Linked DNA regions of Kluyveromyces lactis. The protein of the gene in region 3 binds, or shares a complex with, the protein of the main gene of each other region. Links are inferred from orthologs where the notes say so. Each region holds a gene or a part of one and is shown on either strand. Other genes may lie near its edges. The genes, in order: SKI6, RRP46 and RRP4.

Evidence for each region.
Region 1: RRP4 (region 3) and SKI6 share a complex: the UniProt entries of both Schizosaccharomyces pombe proteins name them as parts of the RNA exosome complex. The link is inferred for Kluyveromyces lactis from reciprocal best matches to the Schizosaccharomyces pombe genes rrp4 and rrp41.
Region 2: RRP4 (region 3) and RRP46 share a complex: the UniProt entries of both Schizosaccharomyces pombe proteins name them as parts of the RNA exosome complex. The link is inferred for Kluyveromyces lactis from reciprocal best matches to the Schizosaccharomyces pombe genes rrp4 and rrp46.

The regions. Positions count from the first base shown.
Region 1 is NC_006040.1:808,711-817,033, forward strand, and holds SKI6 (exosome non-catalytic core subunit SKI6), read right to left. Parts: upstream 5,801-8,323; coding exon 5,063-5,800; downstream 1-5,062. Other genes in the region: divalent metal ion transporter SMF2, read left to right, coding at 493-2,160; FYV8 (Fyv8p), read left to right, coding at 2,524-4,986; GPI14 (glycosylphosphatidylinositol-alpha 1,4 mannosyltransferase I), read right to left, coding at 6,119-7,327; KLLA0_D09669g (uncharacterized protein), read left to right, coding at 7,633-8,040. UniProt on the Schizosaccharomyces pombe protein: Non-catalytic component of the RNA exosome complex which has 3'->5' exoribonuclease activity and participates in a multitude of cellular RNA processing and degradation events.
Region 2 is NC_006040.1:1,262,241-1,272,917, forward strand, and holds RRP46 (exosome non-catalytic core subunit RRP46), read right to left. Parts: upstream 5,190-10,677; coding exon 4,512-5,189; downstream 1-4,511. Other genes in the region: RNA-binding ribosome biosynthesis protein MRD1, read right to left, coding at 1-256; VAS1 (valine--tRNA ligase), read left to right, coding at 1,083-4,358; thiamine transporter TPC1, read left to right, coding at 5,563-6,516; PIS1 (CDP-diacylglycerol--inositol 3-phosphatidyltransferase), read left to right, coding at 6,885-7,562; ALE2 (Ale2p), read left to right, coding at 7,920-8,906; KLLA0_D15081g (uncharacterized protein), read left to right, coding at 9,456-10,677. UniProt on the Schizosaccharomyces pombe protein: Non-catalytic component of the RNA exosome complex which has 3'->5' exoribonuclease activity and participates in a multitude of cellular RNA processing and degradation events.
Region 3 is NC_006041.1:1,123,852-1,133,460, reverse strand, and holds RRP4 (exosome non-catalytic core subunit RRP4), read left to right. Parts: upstream 1-1,762; coding exon 1,763-3,076; downstream 3,077-9,609. Other genes in the region: TRM5 (tRNA (guanine) methyltransferase), read right to left, coding at 226-1,734; OMS1 (putative RNA methyltransferase), read right to left, coding at 3,174-4,514; DYS1 (deoxyhypusine synthase), read right to left, coding at 4,825-5,964; IPK1 (inositol pentakisphosphate 2-kinase), read left to right, coding at 6,264-7,064; hydroxyacyl-thioester dehydratase HTD2, read right to left, coding at 7,073-7,888; EMC10 (Emc10p), read right to left, coding at 8,496-9,068; YOS9 (Yos9p), read left to right, coding at 9,341-9,609. UniProt on the Schizosaccharomyces pombe protein: Non-catalytic component of the RNA exosome complex which has 3'->5' exoribonuclease activity and participates in a multitude of cellular RNA processing and degradation events.

The DNA.
Region 1 (8,323 bases), on a different chromosome or scaffold from region 3:
CATGATGTGTGAGATTTGCAATCCTTTTATACCACTAGCATTCCATTAATTTGAAGCTGATATTTTCGATCTAGACCATTCTGTTTTCATCATACTATTATCAATAAGGGTGTGTTGGTGTGTTCAAAGAAACCTGGTTTTCTGGCTCGATTTTTTATTAGTTGCACCTATTCAGTTTCTTTGCCTAGTCTTTTCATTGAAACCTACTGAAAAGTTCAAGTGTGTCTAGTTTGGCTTTTCTGAAAACAGTTAATTGCACTTTATTGCTTAACCATCTTTTTGAGTTCACTACCGATTTCAAAACTGCTGTGCTAGTGTGACGGACACATTCCAAGTACAGGTCTTCAATCCATTCTTTTTTGTTCCCCGCACCATTATCAAAATATAAGAAAGTGATATACTCACCATCTGGACCTACTTCGCTGAACGTGTACTGTCTTCTGATAAATACAATCAAAAAAAAAAAAATATATTACCCAAGTATAACCCCGCATGTCTTCTTCTCTTCAGTTTAAAAAGGTTGCAGGTAGTGATGGGTCTTCTGCATGGAACACCAATGACCAGCAATATAATGCGTTCGTTCATGAAGGAGATACTGATACTCCGACTTACGTTAAAACATTCCAAAACTGCGTTCGTATATTGAAGAAGTATGCCAGGTTTGTGGGTCCCGGATTAATGGTTTCCGTTTCATACATGGACCCGGGGAATTTCAGTACCGCTGTGGCAGCAGGTTCTGCGCACAGATATAAACTTTTATTCTCTGTTCTGGTCACCAATATTCTAGCAGCATTTTGGCAATGCTTATGTGCTAAGTTAGGTGCCGTCACCGGATTAGATTTGGCTCAAAATTGTAAAAAACATTTACCTCCGACCCTCAATTTGGTTCTATACGTGCTAGCTGAAGTGGCGATTATTGCTACTGATCTTGCGGAAGTGGTTGGTACAGCAATCTCCTTGAACATCCTTTTCAAGATCCCGTTGCCACTAGGTGTCATTTTAACAGTAGTGGATGTCTTGGTTGTGTTATTGGCATACAAGCCTAATGGATCCTTGAAACTTGTACGGTGGTTCGAAGCCTTTGTTTCGTTACTCGTGTTTGCAACAGTGGTTTGTTTCGCAATCGAGTTATTCTCCGTCCACATCGACTCTGTAGGTGAAGTGTTTAAGGGATTCCTACCGTCAAAAGCTGTTTTCGAGAGTGATGGTTTGTATCTAAGTTTGGCAATTCTTGGAGCTACAGTTATGCCCCATAGCTTATACCTCGGATCAGGTGTTGTTCAACCAAGATTAAGGGATTACGACATCAAACAGGGACATTACATTCCATCACAAAATGATGAAGATAATAACCATGATAATTACAAACCTTCTATCGATGCAATCCACGACACATTAAATTACACAATGGCTGAATTATTGGTTTCATTATTTACTGTTGCCCTATTTGTTAACTGTTCGATCCTAATTGTAGCTGGTGCCACTCTATACGGGGTAACTTCAAACAATGCGCACGAAGCAGATCTTTTCTCCATCTATAATCTATTATCAGAAACTCTTTCAAAGACTGCTGGTACAATTTTTGTCTTGGCCTTACTATTCTCTGGGCAATCTGCAGGTATTGTGTGTACTCTAAGTGGACAAATGGTCTCGGAAGGATTCTTAAATTGGACTGTTGCTCCAGCATTAAGGCGTGCATTGACGCGTGTTGTTGCTATAACACCATGTTTGATTTTAGTATTGGTGGCCGGTAGAAACGGTTTATCAGGGGCTCTCAATGCCTCACAGGTGGTTCTCTCGTTACTATTACCATTTGTGAGTGCTCCATTGATTTACTTCACTAGTAATAAAAACATTATGAGAGTTCCTTGGGCTATAGATTGTTCTCAAGAACCGTCAAACTTATTTGCATTACAGAATTTGTCTTCCAGTAACTTAGCCACAGATGATGCTACCGTTATTGCTCATGATACTGATGATGAGGTGGACGCTCATCTAATTAATTCCCCTGAACCTCTATCAGATGAGTCTGTTCATTACAAAGATTTCAGTAACAGCATTTTCACTACGGTTGTTGCTGTCATTGTATGGATCTTCATCTCCGGTTTGAATTTCTATTTACTAATATCTTTTGCTAACGGTCAGGACGTCCATTTGTAGAGTGATTATTTCTTTCATACTAAAAATTAAAAGATATATATATATAAATGCATAGAATATTAGTCAAATTTCACATACTGTACGTATTATTACTGGCAACATTACTCCACCAGTATTTTCATCGAGGAAGCTTACCATATTTGTTTTAATATACATCATCCATCATGGTACCTTACTTTAAAAGATTTGACCTGTCTCTGACACATTTATTTTTCAAATCTGCGTTTCAAGGTAAATTTCTTGTGATCTTCGTGTCAATTTAGATCATTCTTTTAAGAAAAGTAAATTAAATAATAAACAAAAACCTTGGGATTAAGTTTAAGCCACTTTAATGAAAGTTAAGGACATCAAGAGGATTCTTTTATGGACGACATAGCAAGGCAACACTATCAGGATAACGCGAAAATGAGTGATAACATTACTAGGCATAAGTCCCAGAGATGGGTTAGCGCGTCAAAGGCAAACTATGACGGTGCTGATTGGGATGCCTATTCATCTAATTCTGAGGATGAGGGCCTAACGAATAATATTCCGCAACTACCACAGGTAAATATTCCTGAATCTAACAACATTGCAAAATCTAGCTCACCTGATCCATCAATTGGCACCTGCCTAAGATCTGACTCTCTGAATACATCTGTAAGATCAGGAAATAAATCTGTCAATGATGATCTAGATTCTCTAATGCATCAAATATCTCAAGAGATGACTGCAAAAGATGAGGACGTTAACAATACCAGTGATCCAGAGGATGAAGATGATGCAGAATTGAAGGTATCGAAGACTGGCTATTTTGCCGCATACGTAAACGATGAAGATACGGATGACAGAGAATCTGTTAAAAGTGATATAGAATCGGCCAAGCTAGCTGAATCTGCTACGGAGATTAACAAAACAGATAATGCGAAAGCAGAATCGGTTAGTGAAGTTGAGTCTGTAGCAGAATCAGTTAAGAGAGCTAAGGTTGAAGTTGAACCTGTCCAGATTGTGAATGTTGGGGAAGAATCCTTTAAGGGAGATGATTCTGAAGCAGAGTCGGTTAAAAGAGCTGATGTTGAAGTGGAACCTTTCAAGATAGTCAGTGCAGAGGAAGAACCCCTTAAAGGAGATGATACCGAAGTAGAACTTTTCAAGAATGCTGCTTCTGAAGTAGAAACTAGCCAAATATCAGTGGAGTTGCAAGACGAAATGATTGACCCAACAACTGAAATTCCTTCTAGAATACAGGGTGATGTTGCAATTTCAGATGACAAAGGCAGTAAAGACGCGGTAGATGAAGATAACTGGTCCAAATCAGACAGTCATCCAGAATCAATTGGAAGTCAAGATAAAGAAGAGATGCCTCCAAGTTCTATTAATAGTCTTCCGTCAGAATCCCAGTTGTCTATTCAACACTCAAAAGAAGGAGACAGCAATGATTCTGATTCACTGCTAAATGGTTATGGTTCAGAACCAAGTTTGATGAAAGACAATGCGTCGCCTGTAAAGCTTCGTAAAACATCCAAAACAGACCTGTCATATCACGACGGGTATTCATCAGAGTCTTCTGGCGAAGAGAAGGAACGTGCTATTTCCGAAGTTAGCCTGGGACAGTATGTTGTTCATTCTGCAGAATCTTTTAAATTCAGAAACCCTGTCAGGAACTCTGTTCTCGATTCAAGCGATGATGACATAGATTATACTGATGAGGATGGAGATTTAGAAGTCACTAAAAGTGGCTATTTCGCTGCGATGGTTGATGAGGACAAGGAAATCGACGATTCAGATAGGCATACATTGAATAACAACGATACAGATGGACTGACAGCTGATAGCGATGTTAATTCGATAACGGAGAGCGTAACGAAACGATTGAGTCAATCCTCTATAACCCAATCGGACGTTCCAGATCAGAATTCTGAAAATGACGTCGGAGGATATTCTGACAGCTCTGAAGACGAGGAAGACGGCCCACAGAAATTAGCATTCTCAACCAGGGAGTCAATCAATCTAGGCAAGTGGAAACCAGACACCGATGCATTCCGATCTGGTTTTGTTACTGAGACCATCGATATCAACAATCCTCCCGAAGGATACACCGTAAATGAGGACGGGGAAATTGTTGAAGTGAACAAAAACACAACATCCAATATTCAACGCAATTCATCGGTAGCATCAGACGGAGAAAGTCAATTTAATGCTTTTCCACATGACGTTGCATCAGATGATGACGACCTCAAGACGATTGCTGACACTAAAACAATTTATGACAATCAAACCATATATAACGTTCCTGCTCTGATTGCCAATAATGCATCTGCTCCGGCTCTCCCTACGAACATACAAATTACCAATGAATCTACTGACTACGTTTCTAGTAACGATACTATATTCAAACACGTGAACGGTGAAGCTCCAAAAGGTGAATCAAAATTAAAAGAAGCATTCAGTTCTGAAGGAGATGAAATTCCATCAGTGGTTCACCAGTCAACTGTCCCGAATCTAGACTTGGTCAAGCTTTTAAGCAGTAATGAGCTTCACTCCCAAAAACTAAAAAAATTAAACAATTACAAGGAACAATTAAAAGAATATGACTCCGGACTCCAGAGCTGGATCCAATATGCTTTGAAGTCTTCTACCACATCTGATAAGGATTTTATCTTCAAAGACTACAAAGTCAATAAACATGTTCAAGATGCTTATGCTCAAGCGGATATTTTGAGTAAAAAGAACAGCGTCGCAAATACGGTGAACCAAAATGTTACACATTTGAAGAAGAAGATGTTTTCTAGCAGCATGAGAGAAAAATCTAAGGGGTTATTCTCATCTATAGGTAAAAAATTGTAGTTAAAGGCAAGATCCGAATTGTAGAATGCATTTATGTTTACATGTTATGTGAAGTTTATAATTAATGGTTTAAAAATCAATTCGAAGAGTTTTCAACTCTTGTTTTTCCATGCTTTCTAAGCTCCTTATCCATTAAATCTCTAATTCTGTGAGTGCCTGCTATTCCGATGGCCATGACACTCTCAAGTCTATCCAAAGGCACTTTATCTTCCACCATTAATAAAGATAATTTTTCTGATTTACCAATTGTGCCTATGGTAACACTGCTCATTGCATTTTCCTCAAGCGAGTTAAGGTCTAGTAGTGGTGTAGTATCATAAAGTCCCACTGAAACCCCGCTTACAAAATCATACATTGCGATACCAGCATCTATCAGAGCCAATGTTATTCCATTAAGCATTGCCCCAAGAATCCCACCATCTAACTGTAGAGCATGAACTTGAACGTCAATTGACGTACGAGGATAGAGATGAAGCATCAAGTTCTTTTCAAATGTACGCACTAACGAAGCTTGCCATTCTAAGGTTCTTCTTTCATTCTTATGGCTTGATTTGCTTCTTTCCATCTTGGCAAACTTCGTTAAGTTAATAGTAACGGATAAAGTAGCTTGTTTCGTATTGACTTGTGACCTCGAGGATGGTTCTTGAGGACCAGCAACTAATGTGATAATCTTATTGTTACCTTGTTCCAAGTACGAGGATCCATCTGCAGCATTCGGGTGAGTGTTGATGGAACAGTTGAAACTTCTTAGCTCATTCCAACGACGACCATCGACACGCAATCCCTCTGGAGAATATATTTCAAAACGTGACATTATGTTACTCTGTTAGTTAAAGTGGGTTTTCCTACACGCTAGCTGGAGGGGCTAATTTCAATCTGACAGCCTCTGCTTTGAATGTACTTCTTCTAGTAGATGTCGATGAGCTCATATTTCACTTGTAAGATTCAAAACTTGAATACTTTTTTTTTTTCAAATTCTATTTCAATAATCAGTATGAAGAAAACAGCAGCGAGTGAATCTGACAACGGATATGAAATTGGATGAACGGAATGGAACATCAAAATACTCGTCAGGACTTCGATCGTGGCTTTGAAAATGTCACAGTACGCTACAGTATATGCTAAGTTAAAATTATATATTCTTCTTATGTTGATTGTCTTGGAATGACGTTCTGGATTTGATGTCAGTGATAAAGACACCGAGTAGATAGACGTTGATGAGGAAAAACACTATATTGCCAAAGAATAAGTTGGGGAAAAATACATTTTGGCCTTTGAATTCAAGTAGATATGCTTGTGAAAGCCATACGGCTTGAGACAATATCCATAAAAATATACAGACCACACCTTTTCTCCATGTAATGGTTGTATTTGCGAAATAAAATGGGGATAATACCAAATACCAAATGAAATATTGAGAAGTGCATACTTTATTGAAAGTAACGAATGCGTATGTTTGTACGAATAGGACATTCATTAAATTTTCGAACGTCTGTGATTTCCACAATAGATAAGGTAGTACTGCACATAGTGTCAATTGAGGAACGAATGCCAGCTTAGATAGTTCGATAGATTGGGAAAGATGAATACCAGCAGATTCTAAGAGTAAGACCAGGTTCCAAATCGAAAAATTGTGTCTGTGGTCTGTTCTCGTGAGATGGTACATGTACGAGTGTTCGATAAATTCGCTCCCGTAAAGCTTGTACATGAAATACGTCGGCGCAGTTATGCCGATTAGCGTCGATATCCCTATCATGAACAATCGCCAAATGCAGTTTCTATTGTGACTCGACAACAAGAGATATATTCCGATCGGTAGCGCATAGATTATCGGATAGATCTTGAAATGAATCGATAACCCATAGAAAAGTCCTGAAATAAGTAACCTGTCTCTTTTCAAAAAGTATAAAGCACATATGATCAAAAAACATAAAACCGATTCAGCGTTTCCTCGAGTACTTATCGTTATAACAATCGGGTTCAATAACCAAATAGAAGCTAGAATTAGCTGTTTTGTCAATTGACATGAACCTTGTAATAGTTTTATGATCATCACACCTGTAATGAGATCAAATAAAACAAAGAAGACTTTCCCCATATGAATCCACTTTAGATAATAATTGGGTAGTAACAAGAAGCTCAATAAAGGTGTGTACCTGTATGTATCACGCAAATAAGGGGATTGTCCATTGTTAACGTAACCAGCTGCATCATGAAAGACAAAGTAATCGATATCAGTATATTTAACGTCAAAATGCGAGTCTTGGAAAATACCGTAAGAAAAGAATCCAATTCGAAGTAGTAAAGAGACTGTTAATAATAAGATTACTTTTCTATGCATTTCCTGTTAGTAAAATGGCGGGCTTCAAGCAAGCAAGCAGTCGTTATGATCTTCAGATATGATTTTATTGTTCGAAATGTGGTTCCCCAAGGTTGGTATGTAATGCCAAAATCATGGCATTATGTTGAAAAAGTACAATTTAAATATAAAGTCACTTAAAGGTTTCTCGGAGAATCAAAGATGATTATAAGTAAGATGGGAAACCGATGAAGAGAACACCTAAATCGTCAAGGAGCGCAGTTGGTTTGAAAGTTTTGCCTACTTTTCACTAGGATCCACCAAAGTGGAACTATTTTAATTAAATCATGGAGAATAAGGAGGAAGCCACCGAGCTCTCTTATGATGAGTTGATGGATATCATTGTTAATAACAAACCAGTCCCAAACGTAGTGGATGTCCCAGATATCATACTAGACCAATCTTTGGCTACAGAGCATCACTTGAAACCACGGTTGAAGCCATGGGAGCAAGCGAAGGATGTGCCTGTAATGGGAGGTTTAGTTAGACAAAAGGAAGAGACCAAAGGATTGGCGGAAAACGTGGAACTAGTCAAGAAGTCAAATTCACTGGAGAAACTGACAAACTATTACGCCTTAGAGGTTGAGTTTCAAAAACAACTTAAAGGTTATGAGAGTTCTACAGGACTGAAAGGAAGAGGTAGGAGCTCTGCCGCACTTTCTGATCAAAGCTCAAATCACACCGACAAGGTATGAGTCTTTCTAGAAGTAAAGAAGGCTCACATAGGACTACCTTTGTAAGGCAAGGTCTTTAAAACACTTTAATATTTGATATGACTCGACGATTTAATTCAATCCACATCACCTGGACGAAGCAACTAGAAATTACGAAAACTCCGATACCTATTTGTCTCCCTTCTTCTGAAACACAAACTATATTCTTTTGCCAGTAGCAGCTTATTTCGGATAAGAAGTGATCTGATCTCTAAGATGCTCACAATTCAATTATTTTTGATAAGAAAGCTCCTGTAATTCATTG
Region 2 (10,677 bases), on a different chromosome or scaffold from region 3:
ACACTTCGATCTTGGAGGTATCGACAAAAGTTCCATTGAAATAGTTCACACAATCAAAAGCGTCCTCCTCGTCACGAAACCCAATGAATGCAAATCGTCTGGATTCACCATCCCTGTTCTTCATCAACTTAACATCACTGAGGTAGGACTGGACATCGGTACTTTGATGTTTCTGAGTTAACCTCTTCTCAATCAAATCCCTTAGACGATCCTCTTTGAGATATATCGGCAAACCTTTCACAATAACACGAGACATATTTGGTTTCTGGGTTAAAGTCTGGCTGAACTTGGTATAGGTGGTTGATTTGGATGGCTACACCCACTGCAAACACAGTAATACTTGTCTTATAGAGGTGATGAGATGAGATGAGATGAGCTAAAATTTTCCAGATGCCTTAGAAAAAGAAATACGGTCACGTGATAAACAACTAGGGCCACACGTCCATCAAAAAGGCTTAAACAATCGCCAGGGCTGCTCAAACCCTTTCCACGCCATCACTCAACCCAAATTGTTCCTCCAGATCTTTTCATGCCCTTGTATTGACTTGCGTTCTGTATCTACATCGAACGTCAGAATTTAAATCCGACCTTATTTACCACTCATTGTCCAAAGCTCGAATGTTAAATCGTGATTTAAGGCAAGCAGACTACTTAATATCTACAATAACTAACCTAGCATCACCATTGACTGCATTTCAATCACTTTGTTCGAGCTTTATATTAACTGTCGGTCACTGACACTTATGACTAAATCGACTATCCTGCATAAAATGCGCTAAAAAGAGCTCTTTTGAAAAGAATATTCTCAGTTACACATTTGAAAAACAGACTCATAACACTAGAGTACCTTCCAACCACTATAACACTGGTAAATGTCCATTATTGACCGTGGTTCCCCCCCTTCCTTATCTCTATTTTCACCCCTTTGTACAGAGTTCTCAGTGCCAACTGACAAAAAATTTTCCAACATTGAAACCAAGAACTGAAATTAAGAATTTGATCAACTAATGACAACATGATCGGATGATGGCAGTTACGGATCTCCTAGTTGTTTGTTGCGTTACTATTTTGGTTACAACTTAATGTTGAGGTTGTTTCCAACGCGTACATTCAACTTATTACGAACTCAGTTGCTGCCCACGTCATCGTTGAGCATTACTATTCGAAAAATGTCTACTGAGCCAAAGCAAGACTTACCACAAGTCGATGAGAAGACTGGCGAGATCATCATCAATCCATTAAAGGAGGATGGTACTCAAAAGAGTCCGAAGGAGATTGAGAAGGAGAAGAAGAAGGCTGAGAAACTATTGAAATTTGCTGCCAAGCAAGCCAAGCAAGCACAGAACCAAGCCGGACAAGCCAAGAATGCAGCCAAGAAGGAAAAGAAGAAGAAGGAAACGGAGCCAATCCCTGAATTTGTGGATAAGACGGTCGCAGGTGAAAAGAAGATCTTGGTTTCCTTGGATGATCCAGCTTTGAAGGCTTACAATCCAGCCAATGTCGAATCCTCTTGGTACGAATGGTGGAACAAATCTGGATTCTTTGAACCAGAGTTCACTAAGGACGGTAAGATCAAGCCAGAAGGTGTGTTCACTATTCCAGCTCCACCACCAAACGTTACTGGTTCTTTACACATCGGTCATGCTTTGACTATCGCTATTCAAGATTCTTTGTGTAGATACTACCGTATGAAGGGTAAGACAGTGTTGTTCTTACCAGGTTTCGATCATGCCGGTATTGCTACTCAATCCGTTGTTGAGAAACAGATTTGGGCCTCTGAGAAAAAGACCAGACACGATTACGGTAGAGAAGAGTTCGTTGACAAGGTCTGGGAATGGAAAGAAGAATACCACAAAAAGATCAAGAACCAAGTGAAGAAATTGGGTGCTTCTTATGACTGGAGCCGTGAAGCATTCACTTTGGATCCAAAACTTTCTAAAGCCGTTGTGGAAGCCTTCGTTAAATTGCATGAAGAAGGTATCATCTACCGTGCTGCTCGTTTGGTTAACTGGTCCGTTAAATTGAACACTGCTATTTCTAACCTTGAAGTCGAAAACAAGGACATTAAAGGTAAAACTCTATTGTCTGTTCCAGGTTACGATGAAAAGGTGGAGTTCGGTGTTTTGACTTCTTTCAGTTATCCAGTCGTTGGTTCCGATGAAAAATTAATTGTTGCTACTACTCGTCCTGAAACTATGTTTGGTGACACTGCTGTCGCTATTCACCCAGACGATGAACGTTACAAGCACTTACATGGCCACTTCGTTCAACATCCTTTCTTGAATCGTAAAATGCCAATTGTATGCGATGCTGAAGCCGTTGATATGGAATTCGGTACTGGTGCCGTGAAGATCACCCCTGCACATGACCAAAACGATTACAACACCGGTCTTCGTCACAATCTGGAAGTTATCAACACCTTCACCGATGATGGTCTATTGAACGAAAACTGTGGTCCTGAATGGGAGGGCACTAGGAGATTCGACGCTAGAAAGTTAGTTATCGAAAAGTTAAAGGAAAAGGGTTTGTTCGTTGGTCAAAAAGACAACGAAATGACTATTCCAACATGTTCGAGATCTGGTGATATCATTGAACCATTATTGAAGCCTCAATGGTGGGTCTCGCAAAAGCAAATGGCTGAAGAAGCCATCAAAGTTGTTAGAAACGGTGAAATTACCATCACACCAAAGTCTTCGGAATCTGAATATTTCCATTGGTTAGAAAACATTCAAGATTGGTGTATCTCTAGACAACTATGGTGGGGTCACCGTTGTCCTGTTTACTTCGTGAACATTGAAGGTGAAGAAAACGACCGTAACGATAACTCATTCTGGGTGTCAGGTAGAAACTTGGAAGAAGCCGAAGCTAAGGCAGCCACTAAATTTGCTGATAAGAAGTACACTTTGGAACAAGACGAAGATGTTTTGGACACCTGGTTCTCATCTGGTCTATACCCATTCTCCACTTTAGGATGGCCAGATAAGACTCCAGATATGAGCCAATTCTACCCAGCTTCCATGTTGGAAACTGGTTGGGACATTCTTTTCTTCTGGGTTTCCAGAATGATCTTGTTAGGTCTAAAGTTGACCGGCTCTATTCCATTCAAGGAAGTATTCTGTCACTCTTTAGTTCGTGATGCTCAGGGTCGTAAGATGTCTAAGTCCTTGGGTAACGTTGTTGACCCATTGGATGTTATCTCTGGTATCAAGCTAGAGGATCTACATGCTAAATTGTTGCAAGGTAACTTAGATCCAAGAGAAGTCGAGAAGGCAAAGAATGGTCAAAAGGAATCTTACCCACACGGTATCCCAGAATGTGGTACTGATGCTTTGAGATTTGCTCTTTGTGCATACACCACTGGTGGTCGTGACATTAACTTGGATATTCTCCGTGTTGAAGGTTACAGAAAGTTCTGTAACAAGATCTACCAAGCTACCAAGTTTGCTTTGTTGAGATTGGGAGATGACTATAAACCACCAGCTTCTGAAGCTCTTTCTGGCAATGAATCCTTAGTTGAAAAATGGATCTTGCACGAATTGACTGAAACTGCCAAGAATGTCAACGAAGCATTTGAAAAGCGTGACTTCTTGAACTCCACCTCAGCCATCTATGAATTCTGGTATTTGGTCTGTGATGTTTACATTGAGAACTCCAAGTACTTGATTCAAGAAGGTACAGAAGTTCAACAAAAGTCTGCTAAGGATACCTTATATATCTTGATCGACAATGCATTGAAAATGATCCATCCATTCATGCCTTTCATCTCTGAAGAAATGTGGCAACATCTACCAAGATACGCCAGCGAAACTTCTCCAACTATCGTTAAGAGCTCATACCCAACTTTCAAGGAAGAATTCCACAATCCAAGCGCTGCTAAGGAATACGAGCTAATCTTAAACGTCACAAAGGATGCTCGTTCCTTGTTGGCACAATATAACATCTTGAAAAACGGTAAGGTGTTTGTTGAATCTGCTAATGAATCATACTACTCCACTGTCCAATCTCAAAAAGATTCTATCGTCTCTTTGATTAAGGCAATCGATGAAGTTTCCGTTGTGAAATCTGCTGCTGATATCCCACAAGGTTGTGTGCTACAATCTGTCAACCCAGAAGTTAACGTGCATGTGCTTGTGAAGGGTCACGTCGATATCGATGCAGAAATCTCCAAGGTCCAAAAGAAGCTAGACAAGACTTTGAAGTCTAAATCTGCCATTGATAAGATTGTCAACAGCAGCGATTATGAACAAAAGGCCAATGACCAAGTGAAGCAATTCAACAAAGAAAGATCAGAGCACGCTGCCGCTGAAATCGAAACCTTGGAAGCTACCATCGCTAACTTGGAAGCATTGAAGTTGTAGAATTGTTTTGTTATTTGTCCAATAGATTAGATTACTCTCTCTGCCGCTGCTAATGCGAATTATATAAATGCAAATATATATAAATTGTATATAAAGATGATAACGTTAATTATAAAGTTAATTTATAAAGAACCATGGGTGCAGGTATACCCACTACTGTCTCCAGACGAAATCTTTGGCGACTTTATCCTTGATCACTGATCTCAACTCTGTGTATAACCGTATACACTCTTTCTCACCTGTTTCTAACACTTTAAACAACTGTGACTCGTCAAAGCTGCCTAAACTATCAAGAAGAAGCAGGTTCCTGACATCTATATCCCCGTTCTCATTCGTGCCCAGCTCTAGACAGTATACGTGGACCGATTCACATTTAGCTAGCTGCGATTCTGTTGGGTTCACCACCAGCTGCTTCCCTTCAGTGGTAATACCAATACAAGTACCAGAACACATACTGAGTAACGGTACACCAGCATCCACCAATGCGAGCACCGCTGCGTTAACACATACACTGACTTCTTTCACAGTATAATCCCTGCTTTCTCCCGCTTCTAATACTTGGAGACATATCTGCACAAATTGACGTGGATGCAAGTATCTCGCAAGCACTGGGGTCAACACAGAACGGATCTGATCTTCCATTAACTTTTCCCTCGTACTCTGTACGCCTTCAGCAGGCTTCACGATGATCTCTAATGCAAGTTGTGTGGGCAACTCTTGCCTAGACTTAGGTTCCATGGGTCCCGAAACAGAACAGATAACTTTAGTTCCGCTGTTTGAAACAACAGAAGAGCCATCAACATGGCCCAAAACATGCGTCGTAGTCTCCATCTTGGCTAGAAAATTACTATAGGTACAATATAACAATCAATACGCAGTCGGTATAGACGGTAATGAGCCACTACAGTCCCTCTTTCCCCATCTTTTGAATGTTATGTCAGGATGAGATGAGATGAGCTTCAAATTCAGAAATTTTTCACTTTTAGGATACGCAATGAATAGATATGAAACTAAGAGGTTGGAGATGCAATGCAATTGATGTGCCAGAGACCCTTTTAGCAGGGCATGTATGTGGTAATTTATAAATAAGGAGATTGTGTGTAGGTCTGGCTTCATTTAAGTTCTGAGAAGGGAGCGAGAGACCAGCATTCAGTGAATCTTCAATCCATCAAGAGAGAGGGATTTATTTAATGACGAAGAGAGAATGAACACTGGCATAAGGAAAGACCATCTCAGGAAAGGTGAAACGGTATCATGGTACAATTCAGTGATTGCTGGTTCTGTTTCTGGGGTATTTGCTAGGATGGCAACTGCACCAATGGATACTGTAAAAATACGATATCAGTTACAACCGGTACAAGAGGACAAATATAAGGGAATTGCATCTACTGTGAGAACTATAATGAAAGAAGAAGGACTTCGAGCGTTATGGAAAGGAAACATCCCGGCGACGGCGATGTACGTTGTTTACGGTGCAGTACAATTCGGATCTTACTCGTGGTTCAACAACGTTTGGTCTGCGAAGTTCCCTCGGTTTTCACAGCAGGGACAAACGCTAACGGTCGGAGCGTTGGCAGGAATGACTAGTTCAGTGGTATCTTACCCGCTAGATTTGCTTCGGACAAGACTTATAGCAAACAGAACGAGCCATCGGACCAGTGTCGCAGAGGAGTGCCGACAAATGTGGCTCAATGAAGGTGTACGAGGTTTTTTCACTGGAATATCCACTGCGATGACAACGGTTACTTTATCCACGGCTATCATGTTTCTCACATATGAGACCGTGAATATAGTCTGTGAAAACCACGAGAAAGAATTCTGGTCGCGACCTGTAAGTGCTAGTTCAGGGATCATCGCAGGGTTTGTATCCAAGACGATGGTGTTCCCCATTGACACTTTACGTCGCAGAATGCAAGTGATGAACTCTAAGAGAACAGTTCATTTCACCAAATTCCCTGCTGTTTACCACGAGTACAGGTATAAATCATCCACTGCAATTATTTACAAGATACTAAGACAGGAGGGTGTATCAGCGTTGTACCGAGGACTTACAATGGGACTATGTAAATCTGTTCCAACGACAGCAATCAGTCTTTTCGTGTATGAACGCACAATGGATCTCTTTGATCACGGACAGCGCTGGGGGAGATCTCCATAGGACAACTGTGGATATATCTCATACCAACGGAGGATGTTACAGAGAGCGTGTTTACCTCCAGTATATAGTTGATGTAGAGGAATATCCTACTGTGTATAAGTCACGTGATCAATATCAGAATCATTTAATGATAACTTCCAAACGAATCAAAGCAACTTACCGATGGCTGATGCAAAAGAGAAAAAGAGACGACAAAACCAGTCGGTACGGCGCCACTTCTAGCTGCAATTGACGCGTAGGATCTAAGTACAAGTGGTAATTCTTATTTTTGGTGTTACTATTGCGAAGTTGTGCAGATTGTTTCTGGAAACTACTTAAATTAAGAGCCTCGACGAGTTAACAAGAATAATCTCGTGAAATAGTTTCAAATGTCCGCTGTCACCGCTAGAGATGTGCTATGGTACATCCCAAACCAGATAGGGTATGTGCGTGTGGTGACGATGTGTTTATCGTTGGTTTTGATGGCCAAGCATCCGTTGTGGACGATGGTAGTGTATGGAGTGTCTTGTTTGTTAGATGCACTAGATGGGACAATGGCACGTAAGTACGGCCAGATCAGTTCATTCGGTGCTGTGCTGGATATGGTGACAGATAGATCCACCACCACAGCATTGATCTGTTTCCTATGCGTGGCATATCCGGTATGGTCGCCCGTGTTCCAACTACTAGTTGCCTTGGACATTTCAAGCCACTATATCCACATGTACGCAACGCTAAGCACAGGGTCTCAATCGCACAAGGCCATCGAAAAGGAACAATGGCTTCTCAACTTATACTACACGAGACGTAAGGTGCTATTCACGATTTGTGCGTTGAACGAAATGTTCTACATGGGTCTATATATCAACGCCTTCCCTCAGTTCAAATCGTATTACTTCCCATTGCTTGGATCCACCCATATCGGAGCTATCATCGCGCTGGTGTGTCTTCCAGGGTACATATTCAAGCAGATTGCCAACGTCGTTCAACTAAACCGTGCTGCGTTGATGCTTGCCAATAAGGACGCAGCAGAAGCCACTGAGAGAAGAAGTGCAAAGAAGAACTAAGAGTTCCTCCCCATTTATAACTACCGAATAGAATTTACCGATATATATATATATATATATAAATACATCAATGAACTAGAAATCTAGTACTCTGAAAGTGCATGCCACCTAACGCCAGAATGTACGGTCCATAGCTTGCGTACTTTACCATATATCATCTTTGTCTCATCTCGTATTTTATGATGGCATCTCTCGAGCAGCTTTATGGAACAAATTACTGTAAATCCACATTCACCACTTCAAACGGAACTAGATCAGAAGGAGAAAAAAAGGCTTTGTGCTACTACGGATAGACCAGCAGCTGTGGTACTGTTTCCCTCGAGGTTGAGAGTTTTGTTGCCTGTTCAATAACCAAAGATGAGTAGTTCTTTGTTTAGCAGCGTCGTTCCAGCAGCTGTTTCCGAACAGATAGATCTGTTCACGACCTATGTGATGTCCTTACCTCCGCACCCTCATTTGACCGAGTACGTGATCCCATATCTCGAATCCAATGGATGGATTACTTCGAATGTGATTCTATCCAATTTACACACTGTGTTGTACATTGCCGTCGGGTATCATGCGCTATTCCTGTTATCTCAACGGGTCTTATTCCCACCTCTAGCTTCTTATAGGTTATCCTGGGATCCGGAGACTACGAAAGACCAACGTAAGTCTAAGGAAAAGCAGCATGCAGACCTTGTCAACCAGAGTGCCGTTCGTCTGGTGAGTTGGATCCAATCTCTGATCGTGCTTTATCTCAGTTTCGAGGCCATTGCATATAACAATGAAAAACCAGATCTAAACTCTCACGATCGTATCTTTGGCATGGACCCATATAACGTGAAGGTATGCGTTTTCGCAATTGGGTACTTCCTATGGGATATCTACATTTCATTGGTCTACTCTACCCTCCCATTCGTGCTGCACGGTTTGATCTCTACGGTGGTTTATGCTATTGGTTTAAAACCTTACATCAACTACTACGCAGGTATTTTCCTGATGTTCGAGCTATCCAATCCATTCTTGAATATCAGATGGTTCGGGATCAAGTACTTGCCACAACTGACCAAAGACTGTCAGACTGTCATGGCCAAGGTGTGTAACGTGATCCAATTGGTGAACAATGTCGTTTTGATCTTGATCTTCTTCTTGGCAAGAATCTGCTGGGGTTTCTACCAATTCTACCAACTGTGTACCGATTTCTACAACATCAGAAACGATCCAAGCTTCTTACCTCTCGAAACGGCCATCATTGTGACCGGTAACCTGATCCTTGACGTTTTGAACTTATTCTGGTTATCAACCATGCTTTCTGTTGCTGTCAGAATCATCAAGAAAGGTGGTAAAGTCCAAGATAAATGAAGATAATACAAAGCGAGCGACCGGCGAATAGACCCTCAGATTCTGAGGCTCGTCCCGCCGTGTAACATTCTGCCTTATAAACTTTTATAAATCTATTGAATTTAGATACAGAATCCCGAGAGATAAACTAAATATCCTTACGTACATCCAAATCAAGTTCTTGAATAAACTCTGACGATTTCCTGAAGCACACTATAGCAGCCTCCTCATGCCCTAAATTGCTATTCTTGGACCGTACACGGCTGAGCCCATGACTCTGTTTTGAGTTTAATCAAGAGAATGTACATAAATAGAATCGAAATAATTGGAATTTGAATCACACACATCACCACACCATGTCAACACAAAAACAAAGAAAGAAAGCCAAATAACACTCCTTAAACTCCCTGTACCGTCGAGTAACATAGATAATCAGTATTCACTGGAAGCACATAACATACCAGTGTGATACGAGTGGCAACGGAATATCGCTTAGCATTGTTGCTGTTGACTTTATAATCGGTTTATTTTAGGGACAAGGAACCAAGCTTTGATCTGTCATTATCAGCGATGGAACCGCGAATTGAAGAAACGGATACTGGATCACTGGCAGATAACTCATCAGTTGCTTCGTCGGATTCGAATTATTTATTGGATTTAGCTGATGAAACCGAGTATGAGGATATCTTACCCAAGACCAACTATCATTCTCCTTATTACGTGAACGTTCCGACTCCCAAGCATTCTCTCTTGGCAGGAGCTGGTGCTAACAGTGCCAGTGCTGGTGCCAATTCAGGAGCCGGTAATGCAAATATCAGTGCCAGAGCTGGTGCTAATGTTGGTGTGGGCTCGGGTGCAGGTGCTAGTGCCAATGCTGGAAAAGCTGAGGGATTAGACTTATATGATGATGGTACAGCGTCATTTGTGCGAGAATATCCTACTGATATCTTGGCGGATAGGTTTCATAAATGGCGGAAGATCTTGAAGGCGATGATCATTTATTTGAGAGAAGTTGCATATTCGCAAGAACAATTCGCAAGAATCAATTATTCCTTGAAGAATTCTGTGAAGTTCTCATTCTTGACTGATTTAGATGAAAGTACTAACAGAGTCTCAGATCCATTGACGAAGAATTTGCCACAAAAGAAACCGCAACCAATGACGCAGATGAAATCGCCATTTGACGAGAAACCGGATCCGTTTGCTGCCAGTAATGCTAGTACCCTGAACAATTCAAGTATCGATCTTGGGCAAGAGTTGCAACTGGAACCTAACGACAGTTGCTCTGGCGCTGGGTTCATGAACTTTGGATCAGGTTCTATACAGGACATTCAAGTTATTCTAAAGAAGTACCACCTCTCTTTGGCAAGTCAACAAGTTAAATCGAGCAAAGAGATCACCCTACAGATCATTCCAAAATTAGAGGATTTGAGGAAAGATTTGAGCCACAAGATCAAAGAGATTAAGGAACTCAATGCTGATTTCAAAACCAATATCCAAGAGCACGTCGCATTGACGGGGCAATTGCTTCACAAGTACATTGCTGCTGTGAATTTTTTGAACGATAATGCTAGCAGATCTGATTTGATCAAGTTAAAGAGAAATTCATCTCTTAAATCGAAACATGATCCTTATTTACTAAAGTTACAATTGGATTTACAATTGAAGAGACAACTTTTGGAAGAAAACTATTTGCAAGAGGCCTACATCAATTTACAAAGCTCTGGTATGGAATTGGAAAAGATTATTTTCTCAACTATTCAGAAAACTTTGCAAAAGTTTTCAGCAATCA
Region 3 (9,609 bases):
CTGAAGGCTGCATCTTTCAATTTCTGTTGCCTCGAGGGCGAGACATGGAAATGACTCACAGATGGCAACATCTGGTCACGTGGACAGAGTAAAGACAAACGGATGATAAAAGAGATGGACTGAGGGACACTGGGCCAGTGACTTGTTTTGGTGACTGTTTTCTGCAATCATGAGAGTCACTGGTATGTTGCATTCTATTTACATTGCAATTATGTATCAAGATAGTTAGATAAAGGCTAGTGACTGTGGTAGTTGGAAACTAACACAGAACATTGGTTTCGTTGGAGCGACTTTTCTCACTAAGTGGAACTGGAACTGGTTGAACGGAAGCTCTTGCTCAGTGGTCTTCATTATTTGTAGTATTTGTTGGTAGACCCTTTCGTGTAGTTGTTCCATGGATGGTTCTGGTTGTTCTTCCGCATCGTATTTATGGAAACAATGACAATGGATCCATGGGGTTTGGAACTGTTCGCCGTGTTCTTGAACCATCTGTTCGTATGTGAACCCGTACCTTGAATATAATCCGACGAATTCATCAAGGAATTGAAGAGCACTGTCAGGTAAGTTCATCACGTAGTGATCGAAGAACTGGTTTTTGATTGGGATCTTGGTTTCAGGAGTACGTTTAGTTTCTCCCGTGACTTTATCCTTGTACTTCTTACCTCCTGGCACCGTGATGACTCCCTGTACCCTTTCGATGAATTGTTGTAGTAGCTTGGGACTATCTCTGATGAATTCGCGGCCATCGAGGTTCAATGGTTCAACGAAGTTACCCACCTTATTGTCGATGATATTTTGCTGCATGTACTTGTAAGATTCTGGGTTCAAATCGTTACTTAGAACGATGACCTTCTTCTTTCCTGCTGGAACTGAGAATGGCCCCACCCCAGCAAACACATCACCAACTATTTGGCCCGGTTTGAATAGACTCACTAACCTTGCATGTTCTGTATGTAGTCTTGAGTTCCAGTACACTTTACTGAAATCGAAAGTGAATGAACAATCAGATTCCCTTTGAGTCACTAGCAGGTTCGGTTCACCCGCTAGGACGTTCATTTCGAAAGTTCTGAATTTGGTAGCAATGGAATCCACTTTATCGACCACGGTCTTGATCGTCGAATTCTTGTCCAAGATGACTTGTCCAATTATTTCACCAAACGGTTTGAACTCTTTCCTTAAATTCAAATGAGCTACGTGTCCCACAATAGTGAACCCAGTAGGAATCTCAGCAAGGTACTCCTCTGGTAAAATTGCATTTAGAATCTCTTCCACTTTCCAGAAGTCATAATCTAGCACATACTCATGGTTTCTCAACTCATACTCTTGCTCATCAAGAAATTCTAGTGCATTGGAGGTCAACTTCCCTCTCGCCTGCGAAACATCTTGTATACTGTCTTTTAGTATGATACCTTTGGTTATATGGTTGTCATTGGCCAGGGATTTGCTTTTCTTCTGTACTGGCTCGACATCGTTCTTATCAGTATCTTCTTTTGGTGTTTCGCCAAGTCTTATAACGAATGGAATTCTTGGTGTCCTTAATATATCGTCCTTGAACTTCTTGGTGAAGACAGAAATATTCTTTGGATTCTTCAATAGCAATACAACAACAGGAAGCTTCTTTACGAATAATGATTTATCTAATTGTTTCATGCCACGATGCACTGGTGGTTCATATTTGAACGTAGTTTCAATAGCTCTACTCATTGTTCTTCGAAGCACTAGGCCAAACCTCATAAAACTAGTCCTCCTCTATCCTTGAAAAATGGAGCAAAATAGTGTGCTATCACTTCACCAAATAAAACGCTGCCTGACGGTCGATCTTTGCTGCAACATTTTTACATCTTTTACAACGCTCATCTCATCTCATCTCATCGCTCTCTTATTTAATTTGGAAAATTTTCAGTTAACTAACACCAAAAGTAACAAAGGTACAGCGAGGAAGTCAGCACATCGAACGCCTTCTGCAGTCCCTGACATCGTTATATCATTACTTGGAACAATGAGTGATGTTATTAGTGTTATCAATAGGAACGAATTTTGGTCTAATGGCCGTTTAGAACAGGATGAATATGAATCAGATTCCAGCTCAGGTTCAGAGCAAGAACATGACATTGAGATGAGCGGTGCTCACGATTCCAATGGTGGAATAGACCATCAGGATGGGTCTATTGTCACACCTGGTGAATTAATAACCGATGATCCTATATGGATGAAGGGTCATGGTACTTATTTCTTGGAAAACAAGACATACAGTTCTGTGGTTGGCACAGTATCGAGAGTGAATAGATTGCTATCCGTTTTACCATTAAAATCTCGTTATATTCCCGAAACAGGTGACCACATCGTGGGTAGAATCACTGATGTTGGTAATAGAAGGTGGAAAGTGGATATTGGAGCCAAACAGTATGCGGTTTTGATGTTGGGTTCTGTTAATTTACCAGGTGGTGTATTGAGACGTAAGTCAGAGACAGATGAGTTGCAAATGAGAAACTTCTTGAAAGAAGGTGATCTACTAAACGCTGAAGTCCAATCGTTGTTCCAAGACGGTTCAGCTTCATTACATACCAGATCGTTGAAATATGGGAAACTAAGGAATGGTACGTTTGTTCAAGTCCCAAGTTCCCTAATAGTGAGATCTAAAAATCATACACATAATCTTCCAGGGAATGTCACCATTATCTTGGGTGTAAATGGGTTCGTATGGATAAGGAAATCCTCCAAGATGGATCTTTCCGGTAAGACCACTACTACAGGTTCAGGACAATCTGACCATTTACCAGGATCCAACAATGCAATGTCGGTTTCCATTACAAGATTGGAAGAAGAGAGTTCTTGGGAAATATATTCGGATAAAAATGATACTGTTACTGTAAGCGTTAGGCAAACAATCACAAGATATGCAAACGTAATTAAGGCGTTAGCACATTGCGAACTCGGTATCACTGAGCCAAGAATAATATCCGCATATGAGGCTTCAATGGCTTATGGTAACTTGGGACAGTTAATTGAATCGGAGACGATGGAGTCCTTAGGTCAAGACGTCATCAACTCAGAGAAGATGAGGGGAGCAGCATAGGTTGTAATCGGTAATATTAATATTTACATGAAGTAGTATTTTATAAATAAAGTGCATAATATTTACAAATAATAAAATCTTTTCGATAAGAGTACCATCATTTGGATGTCTCAGATGTTGGTTTATTATGGGTAGCTTGTAGCGAGTCTTGCTTCTTTCCATCGTTTGTGAAAGATTCAATTCTGCTCTTAACACTAGCACCAAGATACTTTTCAAAGAAGCCAATTTCTTCTTTCTTCTTACCGTCACCTTTACGCTTGGCAACAATACACCATGTCGTACCGAAATGTGTTCTTCTTTCTTCGACGACATCCAATCCAGAATCGTCAAGGATTTCTCCGATATCCAAGTTCCATCTACAACCCCATGTCTTTAAACGTTTCTCAGCTCTATCGTCAAGAATTTTGTTGATTGTATCGTATGAACCTCTTCCGTGTTCCAAGAGAATGATTCTACCGCCAGGTTTCAACAATTCAGCAAAATTCTTCAAAGATTTTACAGGATCGTGATGTGAACAAAGACCAAACGCTTCAACAATAGTATCATACTTAACAGGTGTCTCCTTCGAGTTCAAGTCGATCAAATCTTCCGCTTTCCCTACAACAAATGCACATTTCTTGAAATTGGGTAGTGCTTCTCTGAATTTTTTATTTGTGATTTCCATCATCTTTTCCGATGCATCCAAGAATGTGATTGAGTTGATCTTCGTTGGGTCTAAATATTTGATATTCCTACCAGTACCACAAGCGACTTCGAGAACATCTCCTTTACAATGTTTCATGAGCCACTTACGTCTTTTACCCATTCTGATCATCATTTCTTCAAAACTCACACCCTCATCGTACTCTTCTGCCTTCATTTCATAGAAATCAGTGGTATCCCTAGCAGGTAGAATTTTCTCGTTAATCTTGTTTTGATCGTTGTTTTCCAAGGTAATCTTATCCAAATTCTCAGTCCCATCTTTCTCTATAATCTTTTGGTATTGTTTCAATTTCTCCACATCTCTTGTTCTTAACGTATTTTTTAGTTCCTTATAGCGCAACAACTCATATTCATTTGCTACTCCCATATCAATCTTTGCACTAATATCTTCTAACTCCTTGTCCTTCTTATAAAGCTTCTTGGTATAGTTTAACCCATATAGAATGAACACCACATATGCGGCAAGAATGTATTTCGTTAAAGCTTTCGAAAACTTCTCGGACCTTGCAATGGCCCCGTACCTAATAATCCAGTTGTCAGATTTCAAATCCGCTTCATGCTTCTCCCTAGCAATCTGCTCCTTTGATTTAGGCTTCTTGTAAACGGAATCTGGAGAAGGTATGTATGTACTTTTGCAGCGTACAAGATCAAGAACCTTATATCCCGAACCTAAGCTTGGCCCACATTGCGTTACTCTCAATGGCCCCCGCAAGAAATTGCGTCTGACAGCAAACATTAGTGAAACAGATCACAGGTGATTCTTGAGACCCTGTTAAAACAGACCAGAAGACCATATCGGAAGGCTGTTTTGTCGGTTCTTTTGCGTTAACTCAAGATAAAGAGAGAGCGAGATGAGACGGTTTCGAGGTTGAATCGATCTTGAAAAATTTAGAATATCACGTGGTACAATTGGGTTGAGTGAATGTCTTAATAACCAAGTGGTGTTGACCCAATCCAACACCACTGACAACAATGAATTCTCATGCAGTTGGCTCAGACTCGAGGTTATGAATATATACAGATATCTATTGTTTTTATAAAGTGTTCTATTCGCTAGCAAAAGTGGCAGCGACGACTAATGGGAAAACGACAGTGGCATCTGCATAGACCTTAACGGACTTAGCGTCTGCTTTAATCTTACCCCAGGAAACAGCCTCATCTGGTCTTGCACCAGCATCAGAACCGTCAAATTCTTGACCCGTGTTGATATAAACAGCGTAATCTGCACCGTTTCTCATCAAACATGCGTTTGCGATGTGATGTTTGATTAACCCACCACCAAGGATAATCATACCTGCCCGTGATGCTTCCATAGACATAGAGTTAATCTTACGAATATCAGAAACAATATCTAGTCTCAACTGTTTAGGAGATGCCTTGAAGGTATGGAAAAACAACATATCACCAATGGAACCATCGGTGACAGCAGGACAAAAGATTGGGATATCGTTCTTATAAGCCCAGTATAGAACACTGGATTCATCGTTGATCTCTTTACCTAACCTACGGATCAACTTGGAAGGAGTCCATACCGGAGAGTCTTGATCGAAGTTGCTATCCAAACAGTCTTTACCCTGAGATTCGACGTAGTTTTCTTGTTCTTCAAGCATCTTGTCCAAGATTGGAACGATCCATTCTTCAAACTTACAATAGTTGTCGTTAGGAACCAGCAAATTACCAATACGGTTCATACCTTGGTCACGTAACCCTTTACCAGGTAAAGAAAACTCACCAAGGTAAGTGTCAGCCAAACACTTGATGATATCTTCTTCAACACCGCCTGCAGTTGCAACAATGGCATCGACCATCTTATTCTGAACCAAGAAACGTAAAGTCTCACGCAAGCCAGAAGAAATCAAATTCGAAGTGTAACCCATAAAGATAGTAGTCTTTTGGTACCCATCATTGTCAAAAGAACCCTTGCGGTCATGTTCTTCCAACTTGTCACGATGTTCACCTCTCCAGGATCTCATCTCATCGATAATATCGCAGGCTTTTCCCAAAGAAGACGCCTGGAAGCCCATAGTAGCCATCGATTTAATTAAATCCTTAGAACGCATGTTGCGTGATTCTGGTTTGCTGTAATCAATACCTTCGACCTTAACAAAATTATCAGGCACTGGAACAGATTGCTTCAACACAGCATCGCTTAAGATGTCAGGTAATTTACCGTCAATGTTGGACATCTTTTCGTTGTAAGTTAGTAGGTAAGTTGGTAGAGCACTTCTTTCTGAACAATGAAGCTCCAATCGCCTAAGTATAATGTGGTGAATCAGGTTATAGATCAGAGTTAATACCGTCTTGTTCTTACAGTTGTAAAGTTCATGCGGTGAGAAGTGAAAAATTCCTAAAAGGTAAAGCCTTTTAGTTTTATAAATCTCTAATCTGGTGACGAGATGACAAGTCAAAGAAACGATGCTGCACCACGATTAAACACATGACCTACTTTTTGGGTTTGCCTTGGTTCTTTGTGTGAAACTATGGTATGACTCTATTGTTCGTTGGTAGAGGCAATGCTAATGTTTGCTATCTCCTTTCTGGTGAAGTGTACCGTATCAGCTTAAGGCACCAGAAACTTTCCAGGAACAATGCATATGTGCAGGACAACTTCCAGTTTATCGATTCCAAGATCAGGTCACTTCCTATGTTGGCCGATGTGGTTGTTTCCATGAGGTTAGAAGAGGTGTTTGTCGATACAAAATGGATTAATGTGTTGAAAGATGAGAATATCTTAATCGATGATAGTCATATGCAATGCATAGTCATGCCTTTATTGCATGCCAAGGATAGTACATGTGAACAGTTGGACCATTTCAATCAAATCTATCGATGCTCATTGAATGATGCTATTACTTGGGAATTCAAGCCAAAGTGGTTGTATCAATCTAGTGATTATTGTAGGAATTGTACACATAACTCGCTGAAGGGAAGAGATATTGAGTACTGTTTTTTACATGATCCGGAGCTGATTATCGAAACGCTGTTTGCAGGACGCCAAGTGCCAGAAGAATTTCTTGATGACATTCTGCAGTATCTCCAATCAAGTGACAGTATTACACAGAGGCTCTATGCTGCTCAGCGTTTTGTGAAAGATGATTTGTCAACGCTAATGACGCTAAGAGATGTGACCTGTTTCTTGACCTGGTCCCGCAATACAAGGAGCGTCAAGGCTACGATAATAGATGTTGATCAAAAACCAGCAAACAAACTGCGGCATTGGCAGAGTACTGAATCCGCTCTTGCATCTTTCCCAGGAAAGAAGAAGGCTCATTTCAACCACCAATGATTGTACTTTTACTCTATATGTATACATGAAGCTATCTTACACTCAAAGTAAACCTTATGTGAATCCTTAGGATCTCTCAATATTATACTGATTTGACCATCCTTCCCGAGTCCATTGTGACAGATTTCAAGATCTGTGCCAGCATACACATGAGACGTATTCTTGTATTTTATGCTGGAGACTTGTCTTCCAAAACATTGTTCGAAATAGTTGATCACCAATTGAACCAAAAACGGGCCCTGTACTATAACATCACGGTATCCCTCTACGTTGCGCGAATAGTCCCTATCCCAATGTATTCTATGAGGATTCGAACTGATCGAACTGTAAACCATGACATCGATATCTTCCAAATTGATGATTTCTCGGGTACTGTAATCTTCGGACTTGGTTATTACTTTATCTGAGACTTTTTGATTAGTATATATCAACGTTCTTAACTCTTTAACATATAGGTACCCCTTTTCGTCTCGTATAGTTCTCTTCAACCCTACGAAATGGTCTTTGTTCAGTTCTTTGATGAATTTAAGTTCTTCTTGACAATTGTACCAGCCATCTGTCAGTGATTTCTTGAACTCAATTGATCCCTGAACCCACATGCGACGCCGAAAGGGCACTTCACGTTTCAATATAGCACCAGGAGTCTGGTACGAGTAGTATCCGTCTTCGCTGAGGGCAGCTGTTACTGGATGGAAGAACAATAAATGTGAACCTGAAAGCGATATATCGTTTGATACTTTTGCTTTTGGCAAGATAGATGTAACCAAAGTCTGATACCTCTGTACCGTCACCGGATTGATGTAATCACTGATATGCCACTGCATTGCCGCGAAAACTAACAGCTATGTGGATATGGTTGGCTTTTAAGGATTCCCTTTTTTTTCTATACTGTTTGATGTGAGGTTTACGATTGAATGCCCAACAGTTTTAAATTCATTCATTACTTGTTTATGACGATATACAGGTAAATAAATTAAATAAGATGTGAAGTGGGATACAGTTCTATCGAGTTGGTAGTAAACACTACTGTGCATGATATCGTGAAGCTGATTGGCAGTCTAATTGACTGGAAAGTCAAGTGCAAAGTGAATTATCGTAACAGCAACTACAGTGTTACAGTGCAAATGAGAAAAGCATGATCGATTGTTGATAAGAAGTGAGTAATGGAGTTGCTTAGTTTCGATCCTTTTAAAAAGCCAACATTGGTAAATCTTTCACTTCAGTCTTTCCATCGAGCACTCAATTAATAAACTCAAGGCAAATTGCTCATCAAAATAATCCATGTCACTAATTGTAATACATTTCGTATTCGTAGAGTTAATTGAATGTTTCAACCACTCCTATCCTATCCAAGCAATAAAAGTCAGTCGTCTGGTCATTTCTTTGTCTTCTTGAACGTATATATACGTAGCAAGATGGTAAAACATGAAATTATTTCTGTGATCCACTGGATAAAAAGACATAGGCGAGTAGCCCTATGACAACGTACTTCCAGTTTTTCTGAAGAAACGTTTTGTTCTCTACAACATCTTCTTCAAATGCAGCGGTCCCTGTATCCTTTCTCTGAGCTTTTTTCTTTGCCTCGTAAGTCAGAGTTCTTTTCTTCAACTTGATACTTTCCGGTATGGGACCATTTCCAACCTCCTTTATCAGTGGTACGATGCCATCAATACTATCATCTGCATGAATCGACATACGAACTAGTTTATCATCAAGTACCACCAGCTCCAGTTCGTATGACAATGGTTGCTTTATATGGATGAAAGAGAAACACTCATCGTAATAATCTTGAAAAGTCCCACAAACTTTATATTCACCGTCTGTAATTCGATTGGCTGTCACAGCCAGGTTAATACCTACCTCATCACCAGCTTCGAAAGTTGCCAGGCTGTACCTTTCATTCAAATTGTTCAATAAGTAAAGATCACCAGTACCTTGTAGAGATGCCACTACCGCACGCAAGTGAAACAGAAGTATTAGTAACAATTGAATCATTTTTAGCATAGCTAATTATTTGAAGATAAATCCAACCAGTTTTCCGCTGTGTTATATGATGGAAACACCAGTCTATGCTGTGAGATTCATCCTTTTTATTATTACATTTATTCAGTTTAAGGTTTAAAATTGGATTAATTCGATTAATTGGATTCTTATATTACAAACGTTTAAGTTTACTTAGTGGAAAGTACAAAAATGATATACGGAGCTATTATTTGTTGGCGCATTGTTGTCAATTCGTCAGAGGTTGATTGTAGCTAGTGTATCTGCCGCCTTATATGATATTTTTACCAGTTACGTCGGTGGTGTTTGCTATCTCATGGATTTATTCAGGTGTCTCAGCATTCAATCCATATAGCTCTACGCCTTATTCGCTAAAATACGTTGATGAGCAAGAGTTCCTAAGTGTAATAGATAATGAGACATTGCTCCAAGAAGGACGGCTTTTCCGCCCCTACGAAGGGTCCGATGTTTTGTGTTACCAAAGGAACACTTCGTCGTTGATTCAACATCATGAAGAAGATACTTTTAATTCTGAAGGAGCTCT